Linked DNA regions of Saccharomyces cerevisiae S288C. The protein of the gene in region 2 binds, or shares a complex with, the protein of the main gene of each other region. Each region holds a gene or a part of one and is shown on either strand. Other genes may lie near its edges. A codon is read from its position in the direction of its gene.

Region 1 (3,113 bases), on a different chromosome or scaffold from region 2:
TAGGTAGGTTGTTTCAGTCCATTTTACCTCAGAATCCTGATATTGAAGGTCGACAAGTTATCACCCTACATAATCAAAGAGATTACATTTTCTTCAGAAGGCATCGGTATGTCTTCAAAGATAATGAAAGGGTTGGTTTGCAAGAACTGGGTCCACAATTTACCCTCAAGTTGAAAAGATTGCAAAGGGGTATTAAGGAAGAAACTGAATGGGAGCATAAACCTGAGATGGACAAAGAAAAGAAAAAGTTTTATTTATAGTGTTCCATTCGTAAACTTTGTATGGATATAATATTAAGACAACCGTAAGAACCGTGGTCGTTTGTTTAACTACGGCGGCTTCTGGTATTACTGAATTTCTCTTTTTTTCATTTTAAATCAATTTATTACAGGTAAATCAATCAAACAAATATATATATATATAGTATACAGAACAAACGGTAATTTCTTTTTTTTTTTTTCGACGTTAGACGTGCTTCGGCAGATATAGTAAGTTGGAAGAAATGAAGAATTGTGAAAGATAAAGGATGGTTTTTTTTTTTATTTTTTTCTAGCTAGATTATCTTCTACCTCCTCTGAAACCACCACGAGATCCGCCACGAGATCCTCCTCTAAATGATCCGCCACGAGATCCACCTCTGAAAGAACTGCCACCACGGCCTCCTCTGAAAGAACTACCACCACGGCCTCCTCTGAAACCTCCTCTGCTACCACCGCGACCCATTGAAGCACCACCACGGCCACCTGGGGCACCACTTCTCTTCTTCTTGTTTTTTGGTTTTGGTGGGCCTACCACCTTAGGCTTAGGTAAAAATCTTTCAATAGGCAATAGTTTGTCAGCGGCAATGTAGAATTTATCACCTTCTTTAAAACTGGTTGCTTGGACACCGTCACCACACTTGATAGTGAAAAATACTTCGTTTAATGGACCCAATATTTCGTCAACTTTACCGACTTGAGTCTTGTTTTCCAAATATATTGGCGCATTGAAATATGGAATCTTAGTGTTGATAGAACGGCAAACAATATCACCCTCACATGGATGTAGAAAAGCTCCCATTTCTAGAACAGTGTCTGGTGGTCCTTGTTGAAATGATCTAGCACTGCCTGTACGTCCACCACGAAAGCCGCCACGGAAGCCGCCACGGCCACCTCTATTACCTCCTCTGAAACTCATTATTTTCTTTTGGTTAAAAATTATCCTCAGGTGATCTTTTGGTAGAAGAGAGCAATCAGATACTCTATCGAAAAGGTGCTCACGTTATAAGGCTAACAAATTAATTTTTTCTTCCTTTCCTCATCTCGAAAAATTTTTCACTACAAAAAATTCCGACGTCAAAGTTTGAAAAAAAGACCATCTGATCACGTGACACCTTTTTCCTGCTCATAAGTTTTAAAAACCGTATGACACATATGCTAATGAAATTAAAATATATAGTATATACCTGAATATGCAGGAATCATATCTTAGTTTGATTCACAAGTATTTGAAAGTACATTCAAAAATGTCAATCGTATATGTCCTTGCTAGCTGATGTCTCGAAATTACTTCTCCTTTTCGAAAAGCACATTGTCAGAATAGCAATCACCGTTTCTGGCTTATGGAATATTATTAGTGTAAATGAGGTCATTCAGTCTCAAAAAGGTATTTTTGTTCAGTTACGTTTTCTTTTCAGTTTGTTTTTTTCCATCTCAATTTTACATTCGGGACAGTACCATGTTCCTTTCGGAGGTTCTTTTAAATTTACACAATCATAATGAAACCATTCATATTTACAGTTGGGTCCATCACATGCAACCATTTCTCCAAACGAAACTCTTTGACAGAAGCAGTATAAAGTTTTGTCCTCTTCCTCGTTTTCAGGGGAACCGTTTTGGCCTTTACCATTTCTACTGTTTTTGAATTCTTTTGTTCTTGCAATCTTCTTTTCAATGCTTGGGCTCACTGGAGTAACAGACTTTTCTCTTGAAGAAACGTCAATTTCATTTTGCAGTTTAGATGTTCGACTAGTTTTTTTCTTTTTCAAAGTGGGTGGAACGGATCCTGAGCTTGATGCAGCTCTTCTCTTTTTCACGCTACTGTTACTCACAACTGAACTTTCTCTAGAGGCTTCAGCAGCGCTATCCATGTCTCCATCTTCTTCCACGGGGGCTAGAACACCATCTTCCTCCAATAAAGCGATGTTTTTTTCCAACTTATTCAAGTGTCTAGCAATTAGAAACAAGGCAGTGTTCGCCAGAACGCATTTTTCTCTTTGCAAAGACTGACATTTCAAAAGTGATTCTTTTATTTCTTTGTCAAGCCCATCTTCCTGTGGATGTTTCGGTATTGAGCCTTGCTGTCTTATAAATTTGTGTATTTGTGATTCTTTTTGCTCGTATTTCTTTTTTTCTTCGATGAGCTTCAAATCATTTGAACCGATCTCCTCTAAGAGGTAACGAAATTCTGATGGGAGGTTGGACACATCTTGTATCGTTTGCTCTAAAACTAAACTTGGATCCATCTTCTATTGGTTATGTTGTCCAATATAAACTTGCATATCCTTCTTCTTTGTTTCTATTTCAACTAACGGTAGGTGGGTTATTCAAGAATCAATTAAAGGAAAATCGGAAAATATCACGTTGTACGTAACAATAAACTTTCTTCTATTTACATGTTTATAAATTGGTTAAACTTAATCTAAATTAATCTAGCATTTGCTAGCTTATTCATATAATTACATTCTATCAACCGGGACTAGTCCCAAAAGCGACATTGCATTGTGTAACACTTGTCTACTTGCTGAATATACGGCGAGTCGCGGTATGGCAATATCTGCAGGTTTTCCGGAAACCCATATTTTTTTATAGCACGAGGAGACCTGATGGCAAACTTTGAATAAATATGTTACAATCGTGGCCGGCTCTTGAGTTTCGAATGCTCGTCTAAGGACATCTGGATACTGCGCTAGCAACCTCACAAGCTCAACTAGTTGTGGTTCATTTAAATTTGAAAAATCTGCGTGTATTAGCATGTCCGTCGTAAAGTCGCTGGAGGTCCTTTCTAAAGATCTAAGTCTGGAATGTGTGTATTGTAAATAGGGCCCTGTGTCACCTTCGAAAGACAACATTCTG
Region 2 (3,989 bases):
CAGAGACAAACACAATAATGCAACATTTACAAGGGTTCTGTCAAGTTTTCGTAACAAAGTTCTTAAATTCCTCTATGAGCGTTAGCAATGATCCCTCTGTGTCTATCGAATGCAAGTCCTTAAATGAAATGATTAAAGATTTTTGTTCCTTTATTTCCCTACAAAGCAAATTTTCGTGCTTGAAATTAATTGATTGCAGCACAAGATTCAGGAATGCAATAATCGGCGATATTAGCTTAAAATCAAATGAGAATTTGCTATCATGGTTGTTTCTAAATAATGTCATGGGCCAATTGCTGAACTACTGTTTTGAAGTCATGAAATTCGTCAATGGCCTAAAAGTTTAAAAGTTCTATCATTAGTATATGGGGATATTTAAAAAAGAATATAACGTTGCATATGTAAAAAAAATAAAAGTAAAAGAATACTACAAGTCGTTGATAAAGAAATTTTACGTTATTAATATACACACTAAAAAAAATCTAATCTAATAATAGAAAAAGTTTTTTGAAAAAAAGAAAGCTGTTAAATATATAGGATGAGATGGAGTGATGAGAATCATTTCTTAGATTTCTTAGATTTCTTTTCCTCAGAATCACCGTCTTCAGACTTTCTTTTCTTCTCCTTTTTCTCTTTCTTTTCCTTCTTGTCCTTCTTTTCTTTCTTTTCCTTCTTTTCCTTCTTGTCCTTCTTCTCTTTCTTTTCCTTTTTGCTGTCATCCTCTTTCACTTCTTCCTTCTCAGTTTCGACTTCTTTGATTAAAGAATCTTCTTTAGCTTTCTTAGGCTCTTCTTCAGTTTCCTTAGTTTCCTGAGAGCTAGAAGTTGACTGTTCAGCATTGTCTAATGGAACATATTCTTTTTTCCATTGTTCTGGGGTGTTTTCGTTAACACGGCCGTATTTATCCAATTTGCCGTCTGCCTTCATTTGCTTCTTCTTTTGTGCGACTGGACCCAAACCCCATCTTCTTGGGTATAAATCTCTTTCCATGATACATCTCTTCACACTAGCAACAACACCATGATCACAGGAAGCTAAGTCAACGGTTGACATTTGTGCGATGGCAACGGCAATGGCTTCACCCTTGGTAGTTATCAAGACAATTTCGTCATATAACTCAATACCTTCTTCGTAACGCAATAAACCAGGGATCATCAACTTTGCACCATAACATACTGCATTGACAGCAGAATCCTTCACTACAATTCTCTTGTAACCAACCAATAGAGTTTCTAAAGGTTGAATAATGGATCTCAAGTAAGATTCATCTCTTGTATTGTCGTAAACCCATTGGGCATCCATAACATCATGTAAAGTGACCATGTTGTCATTTTCAGACAGAGCACCGGATCTAACACGACGCAATTCTTGCATGTGACCACCAACACCTAATAGCATACCTAAATGAACACACAAAGTACGCATATAAGTACCAGCTTCACAGGAAGCCCAGAAAACACCTAAGTTTCTCTTGTTATCGAACTCAATCAAGTTTGACTCATAGATAGTACGAACACGTAATTGTCTCTTAACAGCAGAGATTAAAGGAGGTCTTTGGAAAAGCGCACCGGTCAAGTTTTCTAGTGAGCGGCCCAAATCCTTTTCATCCTTCAAAGCATCATGCAATCTGACAATACACACATACTCCTTACCAGCACCTTGTTGAGACTTAACCAACCTGGTAGCTCTGTCAATACAAACAATCAAACAACCTGTAACTTTTGGATCCAATGTACCAGAGTGACCAGTCTTCTCACAACGTAAGATTCTTTTGATCCAAGCTACAACTTCGTGCGATGATGGGTTGGAAGGTTTATCTAGATTAATGACACCAGAGCTGATATATGATTTCAGGTCTCTCTTTAGTGGTGAACTACCAGCTGGGATAGGGGTATAATGACCACTTCTGACTAATAACTTATCAAAATTCTTCAAAAGTAATGGCCATTCACTAGTGTCAGTGGAAGCACCTGCAGCTTCAGGCTTAATAACGAAATCCTCCTTTGACATTGTGTATATCGGTCCTCTGTGTAGGTTGTAACGAACTCCAGATGATAATGAATCTTTAAAAAAAAAAACCAATAAAAAATGTTCTGAAAACTATCTTTACATTATATTTTTCCTAAGCTAAACATCTCATCATTTGAAAATTTTTCAAATTTTTTCAGCATTTTCTTTTTGCGAAGAGGGAAAAGAAGAAAGAAAAATTTTCAGTGAGAACAGAAGATCATATGTTACGAGTAGAAAATACTAAAAGTTTTTCGATAAAAAGGGAATATATAATATAAATAAATCAATCTGTCATTGAGTAAGTTTACAATGCAGCTGCCTCGAACTCTTTTTTCAATCTAGATTCCACCGCGTCAATGAACTCCTCGGTAGTGACATAAGCGGATCTTTCAGACTTACCGAGAATGAGCGCCAAATCTTTAGTCATGATTCCATCTTCTTGCACTGTATTTACCGTAGCGCTTTCCAATATTTGGCCGAACTTAACTACATCTGGAGTATTATCAAGTTTACCCCTTTGAATAATACCTCTAGTCCACGCGAAAATTGATGCAATGGAATTTGTTGACGTCTCCTTTCCTTGCTGATGCTGTCTAAAATGTCTTGTTACTGTACCGTGGGCGGCTTCGCTTTCAAAGGTTTTACCGTCCGGGGTAATCAACACAGATGTCATTAACCCCAAGGAGCCAAATCCTTGTGCAACAATATCTGATTCTACGTCACCGTCGTAATTTTTCATGGCAATTATGTATCCACCTTTAGATTTCAACATTTGGGCCACCATATCATCAATTAAACGGTGCTCGTACCAGATGCCAAGGGATTCAAACTTCTCTTTATAACTTCTAGCATACATGGCTTCGAAAACATCTTTGAATTTACCATCATACTTCTTCAAAATAGTATTCTTAGTAGTGGAATATAATGGTAACTTCCTTTCAATGGCCAATTCAAAGGAGGCCTTCGCAAACCCTTCGATCGAATCTGTAGTGTTGTACATCATCATGGCAACCCCACCATGTTCTGGGTAGTCAAATACCTTCAGATCTACATCATGAGTTCCGCTCTTGGATTTATAAACAAGCCTCAACTCGCCTTCTTCAGGGACTATTACATCGGTAGCTTTGTACTGATCGCCGAATGCGTGTCTCCCAATGATGATGGGCTTCTCCCATTGAGGAACTAGCCTTGGAATTCTAGGGATAATAATAGGTTCTCTGAACACTGTACCACCCAAAATGTTTCTAATAGTACCATTTGGAGATTTCCACATCTTTTTCAAATGAAATTCCTCGACCCTTGCCTCATCGGGTGTAATAGTCGCGCATTTGACAGCTACTCCATACTTTAAAGTCGCGGTGGCAGAATCCACAGTTACTTGATCATTAGTCTGGTCACGATACTCCACGGAAAGATCGTAGTACTTCAAATCAACGTCAAGATAGGGCAAGACTAACTTGTCCCTGATTAAATGCCAGATTATTCTTGTTTGCTCATCGCCGTCCATTTCCACAATGGGGTTAGCTACCTTAATCTTTGTCATTACGATTTTATATATATACGTACGTTACCTTCTTACCTCCTATTCTCGTGCCTGAGCAGCGACTGTAGTCGACAAGTCAAGAGTGTAGTAACATACAATTGCAGGCTGTCATTTATATATCATGCCGGAGACTAGTTTGCCTATAGCCAATTCCAACCGAACCAATAATGTTAAGTCCGGTTTTTGATATTATACTCCACCCCCACTATTCCTAGCCCTGAAAGGTATCAAAGAGAACACTGATGATTTGACTACTGCATATTCTTCCCTTATTTCCTTATTTGCCGATTTTCGGACCACCGGCAATGACATCCCGGAGTTATAAAAATAAATAGATAGACGTTCACGTGACCAAAGTGTCACCCTCTCCGGCTAACCCGGTGAGAACCCACGGGCCCAATGCCGTCGTAAGTGACGCATCTATCGTCGCATTAAA

Evidence for each region. Proteins that work in one complex are often made in the same cells at the same time.
Region 1: the proteins of CBF5 (region 2) and GAR1 are in contact, whole or in part, in a crystal structure (PDB 3U28), measured with the Saccharomyces cerevisiae proteins. Residues at the interface, in NP_013276.1 of Saccharomyces cerevisiae: His130 (codon at 1,623), Asn145 (codon at 1,578), Leu146 (codon at 1,575), Thr147 (codon at 1,572), Ala149 (codon at 1,566), Leu150 (codon at 1,563), Phe151 (codon at 1,560), Arg153 (codon at 1,554), Arg162 (codon at 1,527), Leu164 (codon at 1,521), Val166 (codon at 1,515), Thr198 (codon at 1,419), His202 (codon at 1,407), Gly204 (codon at 1,401), Met205 (codon at 1,398), Leu206 (codon at 1,395), Leu207 (codon at 1,392), Gly208 (codon at 1,389), Val209 (codon at 1,386), Gly210 (codon at 1,383); in NP_011957.1 of Saccharomyces cerevisiae: His45 (codon at 1,044), Pro46 (codon at 1,041), Cys47 (codon at 1,038), Glu48 (codon at 1,035), Val52 (codon at 1,023), Ile60 (codon at 999), Phe63 (codon at 990), Glu80 (codon at 939), Ile81 (codon at 936), Leu82 (codon at 933), Gly83 (codon at 930), Pro84 (codon at 927), Leu85 (codon at 924), Glu87 (codon at 918), Val88 (codon at 915), Phe89 (codon at 912), Thr91 (codon at 906), Ile119 (codon at 822), Phe122 (codon at 813), Leu123 (codon at 810).

The regions. Positions count from the first base shown.
Region 1 is NC_001140.6:282,123-285,235, forward strand, and holds GAR1 (H/ACA snoRNP pseudouridylase subunit GAR1), read right to left. Parts: upstream 1,177-3,113; coding exon 559-1,176; downstream 1-558. Other genes in the region: rRNA-binding ribosome biosynthesis protein RPF1, read left to right, coding at 1-260; histone acetyltransferase YNG2, read right to left, coding at 1,655-2,503; arginine--tRNA ligase MSR1, read right to left, coding at 2,717-3,113. UniProt on the Saccharomyces cerevisiae protein: Non-catalytic component of the H/ACA small nucleolar ribonucleoprotein (H/ACA snoRNP), which catalyzes pseudouridylation of rRNA and is required for ribosome biogenesis.
Region 2 is NC_001144.5:504,155-508,143, reverse strand, and holds CBF5 (pseudouridine synthase CBF5), read right to left. Parts: upstream 2,011-3,989; coding exon 559-2,010; downstream 1-558. Other genes in the region: RFX1 (Rfx1p), read left to right, coding at 1-347; isocitrate dehydrogenase (NADP(+)) IDP2, read right to left, coding at 2,315-3,553; TAG1 (Tag1p), read right to left, coding at 3,897-3,989. UniProt on the Saccharomyces cerevisiae protein: Catalytic subunit of H/ACA small nucleolar ribonucleoprotein (H/ACA snoRNP) complex, which catalyzes pseudouridylation of rRNA. This involves the isomerization of uridine such that the ribose is subsequently attached to C5, instead of the normal N1.